7 linked regions of the Zea mays genome follow. The main gene of each other region encodes a partner of the protein of the gene in region 4 in a complex. Links are inferred from orthologs where the notes say so. Each region holds a gene or a part of one and is shown on either strand. Other genes may lie near its edges. The genes, in order: NAD(P)H-quinone oxidoreductase subunit O, chloroplastic; NAD(P)H-quinone oxidoreductase subunit N, chloroplastic; NAD(P)H-quinone oxidoreductase subunit M, chloroplastic; NAD(P)H-quinone oxidoreductase subunit S, chloroplastic-like; Photosynthetic NDH subunit of lumenal location 4, chloroplastic; photosynthetic NDH subunit of lumenal location 1, chloroplastic; NAD(P)H-quinone oxidoreductase subunit T, chloroplastic.

The links.
Region 1: NAD(P)H-quinone oxidoreductase subunit S, chloroplastic-like (region 4) and NAD(P)H-quinone oxidoreductase subunit O, chloroplastic share a complex: the UniProt entries of both Arabidopsis thaliana proteins name them as parts of the chloroplast NDH complex. The link is inferred for Zea mays from reciprocal best matches to the Arabidopsis thaliana genes NdhS and NdhO.
Region 2: NAD(P)H-quinone oxidoreductase subunit S, chloroplastic-like (region 4) and NAD(P)H-quinone oxidoreductase subunit N, chloroplastic share a complex: the UniProt entries of both Arabidopsis thaliana proteins name them as parts of the chloroplast NDH complex. The link is inferred for Zea mays from reciprocal best matches to the Arabidopsis thaliana genes NdhS and NdhN.
Region 3: NAD(P)H-quinone oxidoreductase subunit S, chloroplastic-like (region 4) and NAD(P)H-quinone oxidoreductase subunit M, chloroplastic share a complex: the UniProt entries of both Arabidopsis thaliana proteins name them as parts of the chloroplast NDH complex. The link is inferred for Zea mays from reciprocal best matches to the Arabidopsis thaliana genes NdhS and NdhM.
Region 5: NAD(P)H-quinone oxidoreductase subunit S, chloroplastic-like (region 4) and Photosynthetic NDH subunit of lumenal location 4, chloroplastic share a complex: the UniProt entries of both Arabidopsis thaliana proteins name them as parts of the chloroplast NDH complex. The link is inferred for Zea mays from reciprocal best matches to the Arabidopsis thaliana genes NdhS and PnsL4.
Region 6: NAD(P)H-quinone oxidoreductase subunit S, chloroplastic-like (region 4) and photosynthetic NDH subunit of lumenal location 1, chloroplastic share a complex: the UniProt entries of both Arabidopsis thaliana proteins name them as parts of the chloroplast NDH complex. The link is inferred for Zea mays from reciprocal best matches to the Arabidopsis thaliana genes NdhS and PnsL1.
Region 7: NAD(P)H-quinone oxidoreductase subunit S, chloroplastic-like (region 4) and NAD(P)H-quinone oxidoreductase subunit T, chloroplastic share a complex: the UniProt entries of both Arabidopsis thaliana proteins name them as parts of the chloroplast NDH complex. The link is inferred for Zea mays from reciprocal best matches to the Arabidopsis thaliana genes NdhS and NdhT.

Annotation. Positions count from the first base shown.
Region 1 is NC_050103.1:163,552,443-163,555,427, forward strand, and holds NAD(P)H-quinone oxidoreductase subunit O, chloroplastic, read right to left. Parts: upstream 1,713-2,985; 5' UTR 1,561-1,712; coding exon 1,362-1,560; intron 1,250-1,361; coding exon 1,086-1,249; intron 973-1,085; coding exon 913-972; intron 809-912; coding exon 779-808; 3' UTR 501-778; downstream 1-500. Other genes in the region: Phosphatidylserine decarboxylase proenzyme 2, read left to right, coding at 2,226-2,411, 2,605-2,684. UniProt on the Arabidopsis thaliana protein: NDH shuttles electrons from NAD(P)H:plastoquinone, via FMN and iron-sulfur (Fe-S) centers, to quinones in the photosynthetic chain and possibly in a chloroplast respiratory chain.
Region 2 is NC_050098.1:176,087,645-176,091,037, reverse strand, and holds NAD(P)H-quinone oxidoreductase subunit N, chloroplastic, read right to left. Parts: upstream 1,932-3,393; 5' UTR 1,865-1,931; coding exon 1,511-1,864; intron 1,141-1,510; coding exon 1,024-1,140; intron 912-1,023; coding exon 826-911; intron 721-825; coding exon 651-720; 3' UTR 501-650; downstream 1-500. UniProt on the Arabidopsis thaliana protein: NDH shuttles electrons from NAD(P)H:plastoquinone, via FMN and iron-sulfur (Fe-S) centers, to quinones in the photosynthetic chain and possibly in a chloroplast respiratory chain.
Region 3 is NC_050097.1:23,630,826-23,633,943, forward strand, and holds NAD(P)H-quinone oxidoreductase subunit M, chloroplastic, read right to left. Parts: upstream 1,688-3,118; 5' UTR 1,520-1,687; coding exon 1,064-1,519; intron 855-1,063; coding exon 678-854; 3' UTR 501-677; downstream 1-500. Other genes in the region: uncharacterized LOC100502247, read left to right, coding at 198-275; uncharacterized protein, read right to left, coding at 2,231-2,302, 2,489-2,609, 2,833-3,020. UniProt on the Arabidopsis thaliana protein: NDH shuttles electrons from NAD(P)H:plastoquinone, via FMN and iron-sulfur (Fe-S) centers, to quinones in the photosynthetic chain and possibly in a chloroplast respiratory chain.
Region 4 is NC_050100.1:42,420,301-42,423,221, reverse strand, and holds NAD(P)H-quinone oxidoreductase subunit S, chloroplastic-like, read right to left. Parts: upstream 1,422-2,921; 5' UTR 1,381-1,421; coding exon 673-1,380; 3' UTR 501-672; downstream 1-500. UniProt on the Arabidopsis thaliana protein: NDH shuttles electrons from NAD(P)H:plastoquinone, via FMN and iron-sulfur (Fe-S) centers, to quinones in the photosynthetic chain and possibly in a chloroplast respiratory chain.
Region 5 is NC_050100.1:216,381,329-216,384,727, reverse strand, and holds Photosynthetic NDH subunit of lumenal location 4, chloroplastic, read right to left. Parts: upstream 2,168-3,399; 5' UTR 2,149-2,167; coding exon 1,759-2,148; intron 1,563-1,758; coding exon 1,470-1,562; intron 1,368-1,469; coding exon 1,307-1,367; intron 1,200-1,306; coding exon 1,131-1,199; intron 1,009-1,130; coding exon 941-1,008; 3' UTR 896-940; intron 818-895; exon of another isoform or gene 776-817; 3' UTR 501-775; downstream 1-500. UniProt on the Arabidopsis thaliana protein: NDH shuttles electrons from NAD(P)H:plastoquinone, via FMN and iron-sulfur (Fe-S) centers, to quinones in the photosynthetic chain and possibly in a chloroplast respiratory chain.
Region 6 is NC_050096.1:42,029,634-42,033,417, reverse strand, and holds photosynthetic NDH subunit of lumenal location 1, chloroplastic, read right to left. Parts: upstream 2,524-3,784; 5' UTR 2,340-2,523; coding exon 2,298-2,339; intron 2,219-2,297; coding exon 2,098-2,218; intron 2,002-2,097; coding exon 1,915-2,001; intron 1,792-1,914; coding exon 1,718-1,791; intron 1,630-1,717; coding exon 1,507-1,629; intron 1,314-1,506; coding exon 1,242-1,313; intron 1,105-1,241; coding exon 1,008-1,104; intron 908-1,007; coding exon 798-907; 3' UTR 501-797; downstream 1-500. Other genes in the region: ABC transporter B family member 20, read left to right, coding at 1-338. UniProt on the Arabidopsis thaliana protein: NDH shuttles electrons from NAD(P)H:plastoquinone, via FMN and iron-sulfur (Fe-S) centers, to quinones in the photosynthetic chain and possibly in a chloroplast respiratory chain.
Region 7 is NC_050099.1:14,035,998-14,038,941, reverse strand, and holds NAD(P)H-quinone oxidoreductase subunit T, chloroplastic, read right to left. Parts: upstream 1,760-2,944; 5' UTR 1,649-1,759; coding exon 1,308-1,648; intron 1,152-1,307; coding exon 731-1,151; 3' UTR 501-730; downstream 1-500. Other genes in the region: Pyruvate kinase 1, cytosolic, read left to right, coding at 18-74, 164-319. UniProt on the Arabidopsis thaliana protein: NDH shuttles electrons from NAD(P)H:plastoquinone, via FMN and iron-sulfur (Fe-S) centers, to quinones in the photosynthetic chain and possibly in a chloroplast respiratory chain.

The sequences.
Region 1 (2,985 bases), on a different chromosome or scaffold from region 4:
ATATGATCAAATCTTGAACCATCCAACTCCCTATTTTTTTCGAACAAAGTCGTTTCTTGGCATCGAGCCATTCTAAACACTAACTTAGACTGTCTTCAGTGGATCCCCTAAAATAGAGGACATGATACTGTAAATAACAATATTTATCATTGTTTATAGAGTAAAGTCTGAAATAAGGGATGTGATATGAGATGAGATAGGGGAGTTGGTTGACACGGTCTTAGAGATTATCTAAAGATGGCTCAACCTTGTTTCCCTCCCTGACTAATTGTACATTGTTTATTTCAGCAGTGGCTAGCTGCGGAGTGTAGACAGAGGCGTGTGCGTGATGATACACTTTGACCCATAATATAAATGCTGGAAAGGTATATTATAAACCTTTGTTTGTGGCTGCTTCATAATCGGTACACTATCATTTTTTTATTTTGTCGTTTTTTATTCGAAAATAAACTATCGACGAGACAAATATTCAAGAACGGAGACAATATATTATTAGTATTAATTATGAAATGTGAGTTTAAATAACATAAAGAAGTGATGTGCAGCAGCAATTATGAATCTCGTCATCGTACGTCGCTCTCGATCTACTTCCTGATTATTCCAGCAGCTGAGGTCTCAGATTGCCTCTGTCGACTGTTCTGGCAATACTGGCATGTACGTATATACCTACAACAAGTCAACAACAAGAGGTGTGTCCTGCTTGGCCGACTCCTGATGCGAAATGAAGCATGAATTCGGCGGCGGCGCTACGGTGCCCTGCGAGGCCGCCGGCCGGCCATCATATCCTCTCGTAGTCGAGCTTGTCCGACTGCAATGCAACAAATCACATGCCACAGAGACAGAGAGCGAGAGCGAGGTGAGACGAGTGGTGCATGACGTACAGATTGATCCAACTGGGGATGAATCAGCTACCTTGATGAGCATGTAGGTTGGTAGCCATGCCGGTGGCGTCGGGATCCCCACCCAAGCGATCTGAAATGCATGCACGCGCGCGTTGGTCTGAAACTCTGAACATGTATGGTGGAGGCAGAAAGCATGACGAAACTCTGAACACAGCATGCGCGGATGGAAGTAGTTTTCATTACCAGGGCGTATTCTCCTGTTTCGAAGTTCCTGATATCCAAGACCTCGCCGCGGTCTTGGTATATGTAGTCCAGCCCCTTGTAGAAGGGCGGGTGTCCCACTGACAGATAATTGATGCTGTTCAGGTACTTCTCCTTGTCCACGCGCACAATCTGCCCTTTCTTCACTGCAAAGCTCAGCCAGTTTCATCATGCATGCATGGCCGCGCGCGCGAGAGCTAGAGGGAGAAGTAGGGGGGGGTGGGGGGGGGGGGGGGGGGGGTCTTGTCGTCGTCTTACTCGAGTAGACGGGCTTCTTCTTGAGGATCTTCTTGGGAGCGGCCGCCGGCGGCGGCGGCGGCGTCGTCTCCTCCCCGGCCGCCGCGGAGGCCCTGCAGATGTGAGGAGCGGCGGAGCGGCGCCGGGCTGGGCCGGCCGGCGTCGCCACTGGGCACGCGCGCGGGAAGAGCGCCCGAGGCGCCGAGGCGAGGGCTTCCATGGTGCGGCGGGCGAAGGGATGGATTGCTCGCTCAGCTAGTCAGCTACTCAGCCAAATCCGGACGCGCGGTGTGCCAGTGCCACAGGACCCGGATAAGGCGATCGATACACGGCTGCCTTTTTGCTATTGGTTGGCCATTTGCTTCCCATTGCAAGCGCAAGAGAGAGAGAGGGGGGGGGGGGAATCATCATCTACTTTGGCTGCTGTCATGACCTGCCACCACCAAGAAGTGGAGATTCCCATTCAGAAAAAGAAGACGACGATGGGAAATGGGTGGATCCAAGAGCCAGGCAGGCGCCCCCCCAGTGCGCAGCGCACGCAGGTGGATCTTCCTTGTCCGGTCCCACCAGCGCCATCAACACAGGTTTGACTTCCATCCTTACACACCTTCCAAAACCCCTCTGACGTGTGGGTCCACCGAGTTATCAAAGTGGCGATGGGGCCCGCGGCCGGGCGACGAACCGGCGTGCGCGGGCAGGCAGGCAGGCAGGCGGTTGGCCTGGATTCAAAAGGGACTCTACTTTTGGCCCATTTCCAACCACCATCTGCCTAGGCGTCTGTCTGTCTGTCTGACGCCGCGCCCACCACCGTCCCGCAAAAGGCGCGCCGCGCCGCGCCGCGCCGTCCCGTCCGTCTTCGTCCCCAGTCCCCACCAACCTGTCCGGATGGGCCACTCGGCGTCGCGGCCCACTGCCTGCGCCGGCGCCGGCGAGGCGCTGCCCTCGCGCTTCGCGCGGTTCCGCCGCCGCCTGCGCAACCGCCTGCGCCGCGGCGCCGGCGACGACTCGGTCTCCTCCAAGGCCCTCGCCGCCGACGAGTTCGCCGGCATCGCACGCGTCCGGATAGCCAAGGTACGTGGGCCGCGCGCTGCGAACTCCGCTGCTACGCGCATGTTCCTTAGCACCGAGTCTCGCTCCCCGCTTCGACGCGGCCAGCCGAGGCGGAATCCGTGGGTTTCGATTCGTATCGCATCACTGTCTCTGCCTCTCTGACTCTGACTTTGACTCGCCATGGTTGATCCTCCTGTTCGGTTTCCGGGCGCAGGCGGATATGCAGTTCAAGGACAAGTTCTTCGCGTGCCTCTCTCTCGGCGACCGCACGTACCGCACCGAGACGTCCGACAAGTGCGTCGCCCTTGCTTTTATTTACTGCTCGAATACTCGTCCTATGTCTGTTCCATTTCCATTCCTCTGTGCAAGAATATCCCTGTCTCGCTCTCATGTCTGCGTGCTGTGTGTCCCTCGACTTGGTAACTCTCAAATGTCCCTCTGGCTGTGCCCTCCGATCTAGTAAATTTTAACTTCCACGCCGCACGCGGGATTGCTGATAAGTACCTCAGCCAGTTATGAGCCACCATATCGTGAATCGCCTTTGCCTGTACTCTCCATCTAATTTTGAATTGCATGCATTTATCACCACTCTATA
Region 2 (3,393 bases), on a different chromosome or scaffold from region 4:
TTTTGGATAGAAAATTAGAAGATAGGGGAAGAATCTGAAGAAGGCTCCTCGAAGAAACTTCTTTACCTCCCATCCACATGTGGTGTTCTAGTTTCTGATATGCGTTTTTTTTTTGGGTTAATTCATTCATCTTATGTTCGTTGCTTCTGTGTGAGGGGAAAGCACTTCCTCGCTCTACTCGTGCGGAAGCGATCCATTCTTTCGTGTCCAACTCACACGTCAAGAATATCGAAATGTGGACCCTTTTCAGCGCGCTCTTTAATTCAGCTTACCTGAGCATCAATGGTGAAGGAAGAATGCAAGCTCATTGACCAAGGTGGCAATGATGTCGCCGATCCACAACGCGATGGAGACGAGGACAGTGATCTCGTGTGCCTGCGCTCTCGTGTTCGGCTGTGCGCCTGGGTTCTGAGAATCCTAAACGCGTCGCGGCCGTGAACTATTCACATGTATGGAAATCTGTACATGGTTCGCATTCTTTCTCTTCTGACACTCGTGCCAAAAAAATGTATGTATATCTTTATTAATTGCCTCTCTCATTCAGTGCAAAGCTGCAGGAATGGCAGGGAGAGATGTCCCAGAAGCAATTGGAGAGTGTAGCAGTAGCAGTAGCCAGTCTGGTAGACAACTAGCTAGACCTGCTTGCTTGATCATTCCTCCGCGTCCGGGTCCGGCTCGAGGCCTGCGATCTGCTTCAGTGGCTTCCAAACAAAGCTTCTCCTGCACGCGTGCAACAGGGCCACACGTACGTAATCAGGCCTTAGCCACAAGTGGTCCCGTGTGGGAAATTTAGACATGGAGGGAGGTAGAAGGAAGCGCATGTACCAGTTGCCGCATTCTGCGATCACCCTGACTTTGGGGCGGATGTCCGGGAGCATGGCCAGGAACTGCAGCTCAGCCTTGGACAGAACCTGCACGTAGACCAGACGAGAGGCCCGAAGAAGAGGTTCAGGAACAGAGCACTCGTCAGTGGTGTGCCGATCGATGGAGGCGCGTGCATGTAGATGTAAGCAGGCACCTCACCTTGGCTTCGATGATCCAGACGACGAGGCCTTTGGCGTCCGGGTGCAGCAGGCTGAGCCTGTAGTCCACCTCCGGCGGGAAGTACCACCGCGCCACCGGCTGCCTGCCGAGGCTAGGCTGCAGTCACCGCACCGCCACTCCAATCGAGTCAGTTCGTCGATCGACCGCTCGGTTCCCGCACGCGACGAAAGGACACGGCACAGCCACAGCAGCAACAACAAGCAAAGAAAGAGAGAAGGGAACGTATGTCGTGCTCACGTGATGTCCGTGCTCATGTGAGCACTTTAAATCGTGAGTGTTCTTTCTTAATCCAACGATTAGTGCTTTTTATTCACTTAAGTCCTCTCACCTTAACGATGAGTGTTCCTGGCCAGCAGCATGATCGTTAGATTAAGAAGGAACACTCACGATTTAAAGTGCTCACATGAGCACGGACGTCGCGTGAGCACGAGATACGTTCCCAAGAAACTAAAGGCGTGCTACGTACCGGGCAGACGGGGTGGACCTTGGTGAGCGTGGTCTCCGGGTCGCCGAGCCCCCGCGCGGAGAGGTCGAGGAAGTAGTAGCCCTGGTAACGGAGGCGGTTCAGGTAGCGGCCCTCGTAGCCGCCCTCGTGCGGCGGGTAGATGGCCAGCGCCTTGTGCTTCTCCACGTCGTCCAGCCACTTGCCCAGGTCCGGCCGCACCAGGTCGCCGCCCACGAAGTCCCACACCGTGCTGCGCACCGACACCGACCCCCGGCCGCCCCGCGACCCGCCGCGCCGGCCGCTGAGGAGCGAAGGCGCCGGGACTGGGGACACGGACACCGCGCGCGCCGCCGCCGCCGTTGCTGCCGACCACATGGTGCTGCTGCCTGCGGCCGTGCGTGTGGGTGGGTGGGAGTGGAAGTGGGACTGTGGGAGGAGTCGCTTGATTGCTTTTGAGCCTGTGGCGGGAAGATGGCTTGCGCTGAAGCTGAAGTGGGGAGGAGGGGTCGCGGATAAGTCTCCAATCCAGGCCGTAGGTTGGTCTGTCAGCCGAACTGCCCAAGACTGAAAGAGCAGAGTACATGTGTTACCACTTACCAATCTGTATTCAGATTCTACTCAGAGATCGCACACAGTACGGATACGTGAATTTTCTTTAGATCCAAACAAAATATTAAAATGCATTAAAAGTTACATAGATCATTAATCCTGTTAAGGCCTATTTTAGAAACTTTAGTTTATTCAGACCCGCCAATTCTGAAGGTGATTTGTGTTTCCAAAGTCTAAACTGTCCCAAAAGAATGTCATCAACTGGAAACCCACGTAAATGCATTTGTTTTAGAACGGAGGGAGTAAAATTTCGGTGTGGATCACGTTGACTTCAGAAGTTATTTGAAAAATTAAAATATAAAGAACTTAAATAAATATTTAGGCATATAACGATTTGAGGACACCAGCTTAAAAAACCTTTTAAATTAAACAGTTAGTAAAGTAGGTCACGCGCTCTTTTTGCTTTTTTTAAAGAAAGATGGATGTTGTGCATCATTTGTTGGGATGGTCGTGCTTAGTCTGTCCCAGCAGGGTTCCAAAATTTTATCCACTAAGATAATATTTCTAGTCTTTCACATCACCATTTAAAAGATTCTATCATGTATATTTTTCATGCCTTCAGCAGCAGCAACCTCTAAATTTTATCATCTATATCTCATCATCTATTTTTTTCCAGCCATATTAATGAGAAAAAATTCAAACGATATTTTTTCCATTCACCAATTGTGTACTCCCTCCGGTCCTGAAAAAGATGTCGTTTTAGACAAGGTTTGAGTGAAACATATAAAACTTTGACTATAAATAATAGTTTTGAAATCTAATATATATATACATATATATATATCTTAAAAATCACTTTTACAAAAGTATAAATATATTAAGAGTTTATTTGTATTTACAAAAATATTGGTCAAAGCTATATTTTGAAGACCGTGTTTATGTTCTAAATGACTAGCTTCTGTTGCATCGGACACTGGTCACTAGAAAAACAATCCTCTTTTAGTTTGTTCCTTATCCGCCACTAGGCAAGGCTATAGAGGAAGTTCGCGGTGGTGACAACATAAGAGGAAAAAGATGGCGCGCATGACAGGACGGTCGTGGAGACCAGTGGCGAACGCAGGATAAAATTATAGGTGGAGCAACATTATAAAAGCTAAATCACTAGATTAGATCACAACTCACAAGATAAAACTAGTTTTATGATGACAATATGGAGGATAAGTAATAATACTAGAAATGTTTCATAATAACATGCATACCGAAATTTCTCTCTTAATCTGCAGTGCGGCACCAAAATCACCGACAAAAATCCAATCTACAGTTAGAAAAGATGTATATTAGATGAACATCAATAC
Region 3 (3,118 bases), on a different chromosome or scaffold from region 4:
GACGAAGTACTCAGCAGCAGCATAGCATGGTGGTGTTCCCTAATTTTAATTATTTAGGGCTAGTTTGGGAACCCAATTTCCTAAGGGATTTCTATTTTTCCAAGGGAAATTAGTTCATTTTCCCATGGAAAAATAGAAATCCCTTAGAAAATTGAGGTTCCCAAACTAGCCCTTACTGTATCTTTATGCTTCTGTAGAACATTGAGCTAGAAGACCAATTCAGACCATGGAGCGATGAATTTAAAAAGTACCGAGTTGTCATGGAATGTTTGTAGAGGGTTTACCCATACTAGCCATTACTCCATCCAGTTCAGAAAGTCGTTTGGTAAGTTAGCGCGGTCGTCTCTGTGCAACTCTCTGACCTCATGTGGTATTCGGTGATACGTATCTATTAGCAGAAACTATGGTATTGTGTACTGTAACCCAATTCGAGTGCCCTAGAAACAGAAGGGGTATCTAAACTCGAGCAAACCCTTATTTTGCCCAGACTCTCGTTATGTGGTTATTACTGTGCAGGGGTGACAAAATTCTGCCAACAGAATCGGTGTATGGCTTTGCATCTGCGTAATATGAATTCTGGAATGCTCTGGATCGTATCTGGGACTGCAGAGTATACATCTTGCTCGGTAATCGAATGGAGAGAAACCATTCTTTTAAGGGCGTTGGATAAGTACATTCTATATCTTTTCTGGTATCTGGTTGCTGTTGAACTTGATGCGAGGCTTGCCCATGCTGAAATTGAGGACTCTGGACCTCATGTTGTACTTGATCACCCCGTCGTACAGCAGTTTGCGGATGTAGTGCTCAAGGTCTGACCCGATCAACCGAAGTGTGTACTCCGACAGCTCAGCCCCCTGTTTCAAAGCAGAAACGAGCTCAGCTATCCTCTTACCGATCACTTCTTTTGCCAAGACCGTATGTTTTATTTTTTTGGCAGGAGTGGCTCTAAAGTAGATGAAAAGGGGGGAAATGACCGTACGAATTTCAGACAACAAGAGATTCAATTCAAATTTTTTTTATCTACTATCGGAGCTGTTGGAGTGGGAGCAACTACAGAGGTTACCTCGTAGTGATCGACGAGGTCCTGGAACTCGTTGAAGACCATCTGGCAGGCCTCGTCGGTCCAGGCGAACTCGTCCTGGGGGTCGAGCATGAGCGTCAGCTTGTCCATCTGCGTCTGGTCGAACGCGTTGGTCACCGGGTCGATGTACGCAGCGTAGATGCGGACGTGCCGCGTGGTGCTGCTCAGCCACTGCCCGCCGTACTCGCGGCTCATGTTCTTGCTCTCCGCCAAAGGCTGCCGCGGCAGGGACTGCGCGTCCCCCTTCCTCGCCTGCTTCTCCGCGTCCTGTGGCGGCGGCACGCTCGCCACCTCGGCCTCCTCCTCCTTCACCTGCTGCTCTTGCTGCGCTCGCGCCGGAGGGACCCTGACGCTGATACGTCCCGCCGTTTTGGGGCTAGCGAACCGACGCCCCTGCAGCGGCAGCTTGGCCGGGGGTAGAAACGCCGTGGTCGCCATGTTTGTGGTGGCCTCTCGCCTGCTTCTTCGCCTGTGCTTTGGCTAGTGCTGGATTTTTGTCGTTCCGCGCGTGCAGCAGCTTAGCCACAAGCGGAGAGCGTGGCTTGTGTCGCGTACTTTTTTGTGTGTGTGGATAAGGGCCGTTTCTGCCACTGACTTCGGTTTCGGTTTGCACTTTTGCACAGCGCACCATTGGGCCAAGCAGGCTTCCAGACTCATTGGGCTCTGAACGCTGGTGCGGCGGTTGCCTTGCGATTTCGGGGTACGCGGTTTGTCGTCAGTCTCGCACAGAGTACTGAAGAGCACCAGCTTTCATCGCCATTGCACAAGCATTACGCACAACACTACGTAAATTCAGCTTGGAAGACGCCTAACCCGGCAATCTCCGAACCTGTACATACACATTACACTACGTACGGACACTTGCAACATATGTACAATAGCGTGCAGAACTGCCTGTTATTACAGTATTGTTACAGCTCACAAATCTAATCACACGAATCAAATAATCGTGCTAAGCAACCAATGAGCAAGCACCACGAACTAGCCATGCAAGTTCGTTTCCACCGGCAGCAGCAGCGTATTTGGAAGAAGGCCGGTGCTGCCTGCATCTGCGAGGGGTATCACGGGGAGCTTCTCGCAGTCGCAGACCTCGACCACATTGCCGTCTGGGTCGCGGAAGAAGAGCTGCTCCACCACCGTCTCGCCGTCTCACACCCGCGCCGCCACGAACTCCAGCTCCATGTCACCCAGCCTCGTCTTCATGAGCCCCATGTCCGTGCACTGCACGCCATTGCCAAACGAGCACACCCGATCAGCGGGTGCTTACTGGTTACTGCTACTACTAAGTACTCGTACTAACTAAGCAGGTCAACTCTGCGCGAGAGCAAGGATCCTCTCTGCTTGGATTGGACTAAATTTGGCTGCCTATCCAGTTTCTTAATTCTGCGAGAGCGCTCTGGTGGTCACCTGAAAGGAAATGTGGTTGCCCTTGGGGTTGATCGCCGGCGGTCTTGCAGCTGCCGGAGCGTTGGGCGACGAATCCGAGCCGCGCTGCAGTAGATATATCCCCATGCCGTACCTGTGCATCCTGGAAAGCACGCAACGAGTTGACCTCACCTTGGCGAAAATAATAATAATAATAATAATAATAATAATAATAATAATAATAATAATAATAATAATAATAATAATAATAATAATAATAATAATAATAATAATAATAATAATAATAATAATAATAATAAATCGATGGACAAGAAACAGGCACTAGCTAGGCAGTGGTATATATGTAGTGCGAAATGGCTGCTCACCATGCTCCTCCGAAGTCGAGGGACGCCGGGCGTTTGACGAGCTCGAAGCCAAGCACGCGCTGGTAGAAGCCGACCGATGCTTCCACGGACTCGCACTGGAACGAGACGTGGTTCAGGCGGACGAGGGGGAGGGCGGGAGCAGGGCCATGCGCGTCATAGCTGCGCGCATCCTTCTCGTGGAAATCCATAGAGGTTTTGCGGCGGAGAGTCAACGCAGCCGTGTTTTGTCGGAAAACAAGGTTTGATCGGTGAAACAACGACACTTCTCGTCCAGGCCAAGAGGCAG
Region 4 (2,921 bases):
AAAATGAACATCTTTCCATTATATGGCTCAGACCGACACATCTTTGCATCGAGTGGTTAAGCATCGGATAAGAAACTTTAGCACAAATCCTCTTCATATAAACCAAACATACACATTGTAGACTTGTTAACCAGATCCATACCATCCTGCCTTCTGTAACTCAGTTCCAGAAGTGCTCAAGTGATCAACAATCGAAGCAAAAGAACACTGAAGATAAACCTTGATGCCAGTTAAAACCGAATGAAAAGTAATGATTTAACAACACGGCGACATAGTGGCTAAATTGACAATTTGATCTGCTCTAACCAGTTTCATGCAAGAAAACATGTTCTAGCTAAATTGGCATCCTAATCCTACTTGATAACCATTACAGCTACAAAATTTTAAGTGCATAATATGGCCATAACATACAGATCTCAGAGAACTGAAAGTCTTGTGGCATCCTCATTGTTATCATAATTAGAAGTTAATAATCCAAGAGAAGCCATCCAGGTCAAATGTGATCAAACGTATGGCAATTCTTCCATGCCCCAATTCACACTAACATTCAAACTATATACTTCATAATAAGAGTTATATTATCGTTCCTTTTTAATTAGCTCCAAATATTTTATTTGAGCTGTATACATGCATACATACAGAGGATGTGTATAACAGGAACAAGAAGCCTGGTCATGTCGCCGCCGCCGCCGCGCCCTCCGGTTCCTTCTTCTTGGCCGCTTCGTCCTCCTTATCATCATCGTCATCCTCGAGCTCCGCGACAAGATCCTCTAGCACCACGGACTTGGGGTTGGCCATAGGGGGTCCCTTCTCCCTGCCCTCGAGCTCGTCGAGGTTGAAGGTGATGAGCCTGTCCCACACTCCTCCCTCGAAGAGCACCGCGACCTTGCCGTCGCTGACGCGCTGCACGATACCGCAGTACATGTGGTAGGCGTTGTTGGGGTTCTTGACCAGCACCACCATGCCGGGCAAGAACAGCGGCAGCTCCGGCGGCCGCGGCGGCGCGGAGAGCGTGGCTTGGGGCTGGGATTCTGATTTCTTGGGAGGAGGCGGGTTCTTGGCTACGAAGTCCTTGAGGCCGACCTCACCGCCAGGGAAGCCGCCTGTGAGGCCCATCATCTCCTTCTCGAACGCGTCCGGATCAACCGCGGGCGGAGGAGAATCTGTCGAAGGAGGAGGAGAGGGCGCGGGCGAGGAGGTGGTGGAGCCGGATGCGAGTTCTTTGCGGACGCCGACCTCACCATTGCAGAGGCCCCGACCGCCGAGTATTTCGGCGACGCGGAAAGAGGCGGAGGGAGGTCGCAAAAGGAGGCGAGGGTGCGGGTGGTGTGGCAGCGGCGGCGGGCGGAGGAATGAGGGGCTGGTGGGTGGCGGCGCCATCGGAGGAGTGGAGATGAGCGCCCGCGAGCGAAGCAGAACAGACAAAGTCGGGAAGCTGTGGATGAGTTTGTACAGAGTGAAAAAGAAAAAAGTTGTGGATGAGTGGCGGTGGAAAACGGAGAGGGGATGAGGCGTCAGCGCCACGTGGCCCTGCCGCTATGTTGTGTGTGGCGGTACTGAACCTGAATCGAGGGGGTTGACGTAACCGACAGAAGTTTTTCTGTCCTGTTTTTTATTATTAGGGTTAGTATGGAAACTTTATTATTAGATTAGATTAAAAATAAACTAATTTTATTTGAGAAAATAAATTTTTGGAAAAAAAATAAGTTTTTCAAACTAGCTCCTACATGAGAAAAAAGGTTTTCCGATCATATTTACACATGCATATCGAACTCTGTATTGGAGAGACTGAAACAGGTTATTTTAATTTAAAATAATTAAAGCATCTTCGAGAGCTCTTTAAAAACTACTTAGTAAACCAATAATAATTATATTAAATAAATAAAATACTGGTAAATGTACTCGTGCATTGAAATAGAAGAAAAACTATTAAATATATTCACACAAAATGAGGATGTGAAATGCTATGTGCGTATTTATATTTTCCCTTTTCCGCAAAGTTTAATGTGGCTCGTTTATTTTATGACTAGTCAATGTTTTTGCGTTTACGACGACAGCTTTTAGGACGAGACGATGTATCATTGCTATCTTCTGTATACATACTCACTTTCATATACAAATCCGTAGCTTACGTCATGGTCGCGATAATAGTATCGCTCGCTACGCCTGCGCTTCAGCTCTCTCACCATCTCATCTTTCTCGACAAGTCACTGTTCGTGGCAGCTCCGGCTCCGCTCAATTTCCACTTTGTCCTCTCTAAGACTGTCTTCAGCGGTTACCCCTAAATTTGGCCCCCTATATCTCACTCACGTGTCACGTCAGCGTTCTCTTTCCCCCTATATCTTAACCCTGTACAGCGGTTCCCCCTAAATTTTTCCCCTACACCCCACTACAACCATAAAATATCATTTTTTATACCTTCTTTTTATCTCCTATCAATTTTTCATTTACTAATAATTGGAAGTAGGCCCACGTAAACAGTGTTAGAGGGGGTGAGAGATGCACGACAGAATGAGGGGGAGAAAGAAACTTGCTAGGGGGAACGGCAGCGTAGGGTGCTTGATAGAGTTAACCATTGAACGTTTTAGGGTGCTCCTGTAGCCGCTATCGTAGGGGAGGGGGCCTTCCGGCGGTAAGCGGTGAACACAGTCTAAGCCAGTGTCTGTCCCTCCCCTTCCTTCTCTCCCTTCCATATTCTAATCCTTCATATGGTTGACGCGGATCATTTCCTCCTTTCCCGTCTATAAATTAAATTTTATTTATAAATTATATAGTTTTTATCCTTAGGTTTATGTTATGTAATTTATGGCATGTGGCTATGGCGTTTGCGATGGCATGGGGGTTTGCTTGTGCTGTGTGCTCTGCTCGACAACTCCATAGAAAAGTGAATTTGCAGCGGTTGTCTTTTTAGGTGAATAGAA
Region 5 (3,399 bases), about 170 Mb from region 4:
AGGCCCGAGGAAACAGCTCTCGGCGCTCCCAGGAACCACCAATGACATAGAGCCAAAGAGGTGAGGTCAAATTGCACTGGAACTTTTTTTAGTACCTATAACCCAAGCCCAACCATCCCAGTGATGTGACAGTGATACTCTCTCACAAGCAAAATAGTTTCCCGATCCCGATGTGGCGCTCCAACGGCTAATGCGGCTTGGTCCTATCTTACGCTTTCGCTTCTGCAAATCTACGTCTTCACAACCCATGGAAATGGTGCCAGTGGTTTAGCTTCGCCTTTGTTGCTTCAGCAGCCTCCCCAATTCAGGCAGACAGCAGAGGCGGGCACCGTCTGAACCGGTCGATGAGAATTTTTGCTCCAAGCTACTACGGGCACACATGTGTCAGGCACGAGCGCGAGACCTCTCTGCACATCCGAATCGTGAGTGTTTAGTCGGCATGATTGATCGAATGCTGAAGGGTTTGACGCCATTCGCCAGTCACGCTGACAGTCTGACTGACACAAACAAATTCACGATTCCGTATCGGCTGTGCAAGCAAAGCTGGTGGCGCATGTGACATACACCTCCGATAACTTGCTCGCTTTGGCTGTATCAAACTGCTATATAGTCAACAATATGATTGGTCTTTACAAAGTTCCACAATGGCGTTATTACGTAACAAGGATGGTTTATATATATCATCATTTTATTCAATCCAGGTAGCTCTCTGGAGTACAGAAGCTTCTGCAAGTGGCTCTGCCTCTGCAGGTGCTTTCACCGCCAAGAATTCCTCCTGAAACCCTCCATGTGTGACACACGAAAACGATCGGTTACTCTGGAAAGAAGGACGTGAGTCACAGAAAACCAGGCGAGTTCAGAATAACGCTGTGCACGGCACACATATCAGACAGACCTTGTCTCTGCTCTTAGGTTCTGAACATTCCCTGTCATCGAGGGCTCACTTGTAGATCCCGACGAGGAAAAGGTCATATAGAAGTGTGGAGTTTCCGGGGATGTTGCAGTCTCCTGTCAAAAAAAGAAAAACAAAAGAAAAAACTAGAGAAGCAGTCTCCTTGACAATTCTAGAGCGAGAGCAGTTTGCTTATCTATGGTGTACGAAGTCATTTAGCGCAGTTCTGAAAATCGACCTGAGAAGCAGCCTGCCGGTTCAGGCCCGTACGCCAGTGACGCAGGTATCATCAGCTTGCGCTTTCCACCTGAGGCAGGTTTGCAACGGAGTCATCAGTCATGGAACAGCAAGCCAAATTAGCAAAGCCTCTATATTTAATGCACAGCTAAAAACTGCTCAAGTTCCTGTCCGTACCAACAAGCATGGGCGGCACACCGCCGCCGCCACTGATCCCCTGTTCAAGCCCTCGGAGGATCTGCACGCGGAGAACGCGAAAGAAACAGACCATCATTTTTTACTGGCATGAAAACTGAACGTCGTTTTCAGTGAGCGACAATGGATGCTTATACATGCACACCTTGCCTGCGCCTATGCGCATCGTCAGTGGCCTCCCGCGCTTGTAGCTGCTGTCGAACAGCGTACCGTCGGGAAATCTCGCGGTGTAGTGCACCTGATGACCATCGAGAGGACGAATATAATTAGGATCCGAAGCAAGCAGCACACAGAACGCAGAACAGGATGGCGGCATATGTTGCTGAGTTACTCGTGCAGAAGGGAAATGGACCACTGTACTATTACAGAGTAGGTTAAGTCAGAGGAAGGCGCAAGGCATGCAGGAAAGAAGAGACGGTGGTCTCGGTACTGACATTGATGAGCTCGCCGCGCGGGGGCTGGACGCCGGTGCCGACCTCGACGTCGCAGTACGCGAGGCCGGACTTGACGAGGCTCAGGTCGCACATCTTGTCCCCGACCGTCGCGTAGTACTCGATGCGCGTGGCGCCGGCGTCGCCCGCCGGGGACAGCAGCGCGGCCGAGGCCAGGAACCCGGCGCCCAGCGCCAGCAGCCCCCTCCTGCCCGCCGACGCCGACGCCGCCACCGGATGAGGAGTCGAGGAAGTGGACGGCGACGAGGACGACGCGGAGCCGCAGGGCGCGACGGAGAGCGCTCTGCCGCTGGTCTTCGGGAGCGGCGGCGGCGGCGTCGGGATTGGGCTGGACGCCATCAGAGACGACAGGGACGTGATGGGTGGCGCCATGGCTGCTTGTGGAGTGTGGATTATTATCCCCAGACTGTGGCTGCAAGGCGCGCAGGCTCGGGTCTTTATAATGACGCCCCGAAATTCGTCGCGCGGAGGCAGCATGGGCTCTGGATGTTTCAGCCGGCCACTGCAGCAGCAGGCCCGTGGTTTTACCGGGCCGAGCCGCAAGTTTCGGGACAGTCTACAGCCCACGTAGTTTTCTTATTTTAATCATTTTCTAAATCAATTTCTAAAAATTAACATCAGAGTAATTTTGTTTCTAAAACCAACCCGTATGACCGTGTAAATCTCCCTGCCGCGGACAAATACGCTGATATGCGACCCCGTTTGACGTGGCAGGTCGTGATCGATGACATGGCAAGTGTTGTCTGTTTTGATTGGATACATTTCAATGCACTTCAACCCCCTCTTCCAAGAGTATCTAAACTAGGCCTAAAATGCTTGATGGTCAAAGGTTTTCTCTCAATAAAACGGGATTAGTTTACACCATAAGAATATCGAGGTGACCTTTATAAGTCGCAAAACTACTTTTGTGAAGGATAATGATGGGTTCCGGTCAAAATGCAAGCAAGTTATGTACTAATGCAAGCAAGTTATGTACTTATAGCAGTACTGCAAGAACAAGAATAAAGGTACACCTTCTATTAAATTTGATTCTTATTATTTACTTGCAAAGTATACTATGGTATAAAGACAAAATTTATTAGAATATCTCTAATAGCTTATCCATCTTCATCTCCGTATTCAAATTTCACTCCACAGATAGTGCAATCTACTGTGCATAACAGTGTTTTGGATAACCATGTGAGTAACTGCTAGACACGATCTTAGTGCATCTATTATTGTTCCAAAGAGGAAGATAATATGGATTGCCAAAAGTCTAGTAACTATTTAGAAGAACAAACAAGTTTGGGTATTAAAAAACTTTTTTTAGATAAATTATAAGGCTCAAGAAAGATATTTAGGATTTGACAGTGGATACACACACTCGTCACCATCCTATAATTTACGTCGCTAGCTGCGGCCACCAGCATCTTTTTTTTTTCCTCACGTTTTGATGATATAACGACACAACGCAATACAAAAAGTGAACCACTTTGCCTAATGCCAACCAAAAGTACAATATAGGACCTGGTTAAGATAACAGCTGATGGGAAAAATCTACACCAATTTTTTTGGGGGTGCAGCTTTCAGCTGTCAGGTGCAATCATCTTTTAATCTCGGCACCGTAGAAGTGAAAATTTCGGA
Region 6 (3,784 bases), on a different chromosome or scaffold from region 4:
ATCTGACACCTGGACAGAAGCAACGGATTGCCATCGCTAGGGTGGTTTTGAAGAACGCACCTATATTGCTGTTGGACGAGGCCAGCTCTGCGATCGAGTCTGAATCGAGTAGAGTGGTGCAAGAAGCTCTAGACACTCTGGTCATGGGTAACAAGACAACGATTCTCATTGCGCACAGGGCGGCAATGATGAAGCATGTTGATAACATCGTCGTCTTGAATGGCGGTAGGATAGTTGAGCAGGGCACACATGACTCTCTGATGGACCAGAACGGTCTATATGTTAGATTGATGCAACCCCATTTTGGCAAGGGCCTTCGCCAGCATCGGCTAATGTAATTATTCTTTTGAGTTTGTTTAGGTGTAAATTATCCTAGGGGATGATCAGGTTTCCTTGTGCGGCCACTCAGTCAGGGGCCCTTTTCGGCACATGAAAAATGCTGGGAGTTGCCGCCCTGTTGCTGTTCCGAGTAAGCCGACCTGGTCTTCTTGACAAAAAAATAAAAAAAATAGCTTGCAGATCCAAGTAATTCTGGAAATAGTTAGCAAGTTTGGAGGGCATTGTAATTGTTGTAATATATGAGCTGAAACATTCTTTCAGAGGCTCGTGCTTGTGGTGTCTCTCGCCTCTGTAATATTAGTGTTGCACCGACATGTTCACGGAGCGTGTAATTTTGGGAGCCACGAACCGACAGCAATGCAACCACATTCCCCCCCCCCCCCCCCCCCCCCCCCCCCCCATCTTTCGCTAAACAAGTTGCCGCACCATGCTCATGAGGCCGTCACAGAAGCAAGCGATCACGCCGTCAGGTCCGAGATCTTGAAGGAGTCCGCGACGACTTTGAGCCTGTTCCGCAGCCTGCTCCACCGGCGCTCGTTCGCGGTCACGATCAGCGTGTAGTACCGACCTAGTTAGAGCAAAAAACAAACAAACAAACAGAGTTTCATCTCTCTCTATTTCAACGCGAAGCGAAACACATGAACGTTTCCCGTTCATAGGTATCATACCGTTTCCAATGGCGACCGTCGCAAACGCAGAAACGCCGTAGCCCGGAGCCTCCAGATCGTACTCAAACGTCCAGTAGTTCTTGCCGTCCACGGTGCGCTGCAAAAATAGTAGGATAGGCCGCTTATTTCACTAGCACCATTTTTTTTATTTTTTTGCTCAGAGTTATCCAACTAGATTTGGCAACTCCAAACAAATGATAATTGCATGCATAAAGCGATGAACAGATGACAGACCTCTTGCATGTCGTAGATCGACGGTATTTGGTTCGGGGCAGCGTAGACGTTGTTTACCAGGTTGAAGATGGCCTGGTGTAATGTGGAAAAAAAAACATATTCATCACATCAGCAAAAGTGATTATCAGAGCTAAAACGTATATAATTTAAACGGAGGAGAGAGTATGTGTTTTATCTTTTGTGCCTAATCAAAGTGAAGAACACATAGTTTTTCCATAAAAAAGAAGAAGAATACATAGTCGAAAGAAGGAAACAAAACCCCCACCTCATCCATCGGTCCTAGGTCGCGGATGTCTGTTTTCTCGGTAGGAATGAACCCCACACGAACACACTGAAGGGCCAGGTTGCGGTCTTTGAACGCAGAATCATGACCCAAGAAGTCGAAATCCTATCCAGGGACAAGGGAACGAAGGCACCATGAAAATCACCCTACAGTTCTTAACTGTTCAAGAATCGATCGCATGGCGCCAACCTACCCTCCATTCAGCTGGATAAAGGTACGAGTACCCGTCTTTCGCGTCCACGTACGACTTGTAATTCTTCGGCACCTCTGAACAGCTCCGATCAGTGTCAAACAGGTAAGAAACGCAAAAAAAACGCTGCTCGAGGACACCGTCCTAGTCCGATCCTGATAGATACAATGCCAGGCCATCTATATAGGGATGATCGTTACCTTCAGCGAACGCAGCAGAGCTTGTCCTCAGTAGGCCAGTGGCTAACGCTCCAGCACCAAGCAAAGCTAGCCGTCTCTTCGTGACCTCTATACAAGCGGAGAGATGTTATGAACCAGGATTCTGTCGACCACTAGATGCATGAACGGAAAAAAAACAACAACAACAACAAAAGGGGGGGTTACTGGTGTCGTCCAAAGATCCTTGGATCGAGCTCGCCGCCACAGCTGAGGGAGGAGCCCTGTTCAGTTTGGTAGTCGCCGCGCAATTTGGCACAGCCAGCTGGAAACAAGCAACGGGTTCAAGCTGTTATTACTCCTCAGAACTGCAGGGAAAGTAAATGAATTCCAGAAAAAAACAGTGAGGAAGGGGCTTGAGCACGTACTTGTTTGGATACGGAGCAGACCAGGTTCTGCAGGCTCGCCATTTCGGCTTCAGTTGTTCAGGGTAGCGCTGAGCTCGAGGGAGAGTTCTGTGAAGCTTGTTACCCCCATCGTCAGTTATCCATAGCTGCTGGACACGCTCGAGCTCACTTTTCCACTATCGAGTGGGTGGTGGAACCGTGGAAGGGCTCGCTTTTCCCCTATCGAGTGTGTGGGTGGAAGCCAAGGCAGCCAAGTCAGCATGCTCATTATCCTCTCATTTCAGCACTCTTGCTTCTTTGTCTTGGACAGAGCACTGGCTGACAAAAATGGGCGTCCCTCTCAACAGGCAAACAGCCCTTCTGGTGGGTAGGTCGTTGATGACCCAAGACGAACTGTTCTGAATACAGTGATTTTTATGCCAAAAAAACAAAATTTCCAGGTTACATAATTTCATGACACCATGATAAGCGATATACAACAACGGCCACAATTATTCAATGCTAGTAAGCCTGTTGCATAATGCAGCTAGGTTTATTTGTTTTTTTCCTTAGTTGATTTATTAGTTTTTTCTTAGCTAATTGATAGTTGATCAATTAGTTCCCTTTTTTAACTAATTGATAGTTGTTTGTTAGTTTCCTTTCTTAACTAATTGGTTGATTTTTCCTTAGTTAATTGATAGTTAATTAAATAGTTTCAATAGTGTTTGAATGAGAGTCACGTACGAACGAGGTAAACACCAGAGTAGTTTTTGGTGGCGGCGTGATGCTAAAAAATCGAGGGGCGCCTCATCCCATGTTGACCTTAAACCAAACACAGTAAAAGACACTAGGCGCCATTCAAATCCACAACACATCAATAATCTTATAAGTTTTACCGAGCAAGCACTAACATGGCACCGGCCTAGGATTTAGGCAGCATGGCCATGGCCCGTGGCAGGACGTGCTGCAGCTTGAGCTGATGATTTATTACTTCCTTTCACTGCAAGGCCTTTTGCTCGCCAAACTATGACCATAAGTGCCGGAGCCGGAGCCGGAGCTTCTCCCCTGGCTTGAGTCTGCGGTGGCCGGAACCGGAACGACATCCTGCGGCGATTCTGCGACGTCCACCAAGAACATGTCAGGGTCGAAATGCTCCTGGCTCGAGCTCGAGGAAGCGAAGCCAAGCAGCGACGGCTGAACGGCGCAGGTGTCCAGAGACGAGTCGATGCTCCTGTGGCCGAAGCCGCTGGACGACGCAACGCAGTAGTAGCCAGTTCCCGCACGGGCACGCTGCCCCCGCGGCCCGAACGCGGCAGGAGCGAGTGCCTGGGCCTGGGCCTGGGCCTGGGCCTGGATGTGCTCGTAGCCGGTGGCGGCGAACGCGTCAGGCCGCGCGACTCTGGAGCACGATGCTCCGGGAACCGCCGCCTTCATCCGGGCGTTCCTTGCCTGGAGGTCCGCGAGCAGCATCCTCGCCTGGTTCCTGGCCTCGTCCCTTTCTTGCATCCTCCTCCGTGCGAGCGTGGCCA
Region 7 (2,944 bases), on a different chromosome or scaffold from region 4:
TATTAAACCACTTTCAGGCAAGACAATGTTTCGCAGTGAGAGGCGTGTACCCTTTGATGGGGAGTACTGATGAGGTATGTAAGCAATTGTATTTTTCCCTAACATTAGAGTTACATGTAAAAAAACATATGGCTAACCATGAATGCTTAAAACTCTGTAATAGGCCGAAACTGGTGGGCTAACAAAGGAAGAGTATGGGATAAAACTTGCGATGAGCTATGGTCGGTCGGTTGGCATAGTGAAGCCTTTCGACAGGTTGATAATCTTTGAAAAGATTGGTGATTCTTCTGTTGTCAAGATCATTGAGTGTGAAGGTTAGGCATTAGATGATTGATACCTACAACCCATGCTGTAGTTTCATGTATCGCATGGGAGATTACCTCCAGTTCCATCTCACTTATTTAACCAAGTTCCAAGTAGAGTACAGCAAGAGCACAAGATATCTTGTTAGGGAATTTTGCCCTCTTTTCAGATTGTCTTTTGATTTGACGCAATAAATTATGATGTCACAGATTTATACTGGAATTATGATTTGATTATGCAAATATAGGATTGTTGGCAACAAACCATGAATAATCGTCGTTCCTACCTTATTCTATTGGACATTACATGATGCAGTGCATGATAACATCCCAAAAGACAATCTTAGGGCATTATCAGTTAATTTACCTATAATGTTCTGTCTATGGTACACTCCTGCAACCTTGCTGCTGTTGCTGGTATGCTGCTGTCAGTACTGCTCCTTGAAGAAAACAGCATAGATGATGCAGCAGATGGAGATGATGATGATAACGATATCGATGGTGAGCGCAGTCATGGCCTGATCGCTAAGCTTCATGTTCTTGCCGCCGAGGCGGTCAACCATGTCTGGCACGGGTTTGTAGTTGATGATGTCCTGCTCGTATGGGTCCTCGAGCCTGGACCTGAGCTGCTGCAGGCGGCGGCTCTCGGCCTCCTGCGCCAGTGTCCAGTCGTAGAACCGCCGTGTCTCCTCCTTGCTCAGCACGTTGTACACCTCTCGCAGGCGGATGAACTTCTGCGACGCCACCTTGAGCGGCAGCGTCGTCGTGTCCGGGTGGTACTCCTTGGACAGCCGCCGGTACGCCGTCTTGATCTCCTCGATGTCCGCCTCTGGCGCTATGCCAAGGAACCTGGGTGATAGATTTTGCAGTTCAGTCATGTGTCGCCGTTAGTAACAAAGTATTGACATGATGATGACAGTGTCTCGAACAGAGCTCTACAAATTTATGTACAGCTGGACGGCAATCCAAAAGGACATATGAGCATGGATTGGAGATGAACTCAACTGGTAGTGAGACTCGGCCGCGTTGTTGATGAGGTCCGCGAACCTCCCTCCCAACGGCTCGTTCTTGCTGCTGCCGCGGCCGTCGCCTTCCTTCTTGGCCTTGCCTCCTACCCACCCTTCGTCGGGGTTGGACCAGTGTATCCTGGTGTCCACCGTCTTCTTCTTCCCCGGCCCTGCACCGTCCGCCGTCGCAGGAGTCGGTTCGGCGTCGGGCGGGCTCGCGGCTGCGACCACGACTGCCTTCGTGCGCCGCTGGTGCCGGTGGAGGAAGGGCGTGAAGATGCGCGAGGCCGTGGACGCTGCCATGGGAAACGTGTGTGTTAGCGTCTGCGCAGGCAGCATTCCAAGGCGTGGAGGGGAGTCGGGAGGTGATGAGGCTCGCACGTTCCAGTTGTCGTGGTAGGAGGGCGAGGCGATGAGGTGTCGCTGTTCACTTAGCCAATGGCCACATGTACAAAAAGAAAAAGGAACGGTAACCATATTCCGAACGAGAAATGAAACTGCAGAAATTTTCCCGCCGCACGAACACTTGCGCTGTCAGTTTAGACGGTACGCAATCGAATTCGTCCGCACAGTTATCCTGAGTAGTACTGAGTACTGACCAAGTGACAATGAGGGAGAAGAGGTAAAAAAAATAAAACAAGGGGGGTAAAAAACAGTTTGGAGATGCGGGGGATCGAACCCCGTACCTCTCGCATGCAAAGCGAGCGCTCTACCATTTGAGCTACATCCCCTTGTTGTAATTTTTAACTGTGATTAAATTAATAATGTTTTTGTAATTCAGGATTTTGGGTGTCGCCTCCCATGATAACGCGCATCAGGTTTGCGTTCCACGGTATCATCAGGGAGAGGTCTTCTTGAAACGGCAACAATGCTTGGATCTTCGTTACTGCCGTCTCCAGTCTCTCAGCTTTGGCCTCAGCACTCTTGTGACTAGCGGTTTTGTCGCCCGATACAAGACATGATTTGTGCCATTGGTAGCCACTGCAGATGCTACGAGATTTGTGCCATTGGTAACTAGTGTAGTTGAAAGGGAGGGAGAGGGGTCTTCCCTTCTATGCCAATCCATATAAATTGAAGGTGATTAAAGGGTTTCAATCCTTAGTAAGTCAAAATCTCTCTCAATACGTATCAATCTCTTCCAATCTATAGATTGAAAATAACCGAACAAATTGTGATATCCTGGCCCCTGGGATGGGATGTCCTGGCCCAAGGCTTAATAGAATTAATAGTGTAATCATACCAACAAGGTGCATATTCTTTTTCGGAAGCATATCTTGAAAGAACCTCCAAGTTAAGCGTGCTTGGCTTGGAGCAATTTGGGATGGGTGACCGACCGGGAAGTTTTCTCGGGTGCGCATGAGTGAGGACAAAGTGCGCACAAAAGACTTGTGTTGGTATGTGGGGACAATATATGATCCTAGAGAGCTGCCAGGAGTAAGTACCGCCGGTCCAGGGATTGGACGGGGTGTTACAAGTGGTATCAGAGCCGACCCTCGCGGTTTCACGGGCGTGTGTGGGCTAGGGGGTTCGGGTATATGGCGCATGGCGCATCTGGGCCCGGAGTGGTCACATGGCATGGCATATGACGACACTAGACATACAGACGTGGCCAAGAGGGGAGGTTCCTGGATTGGG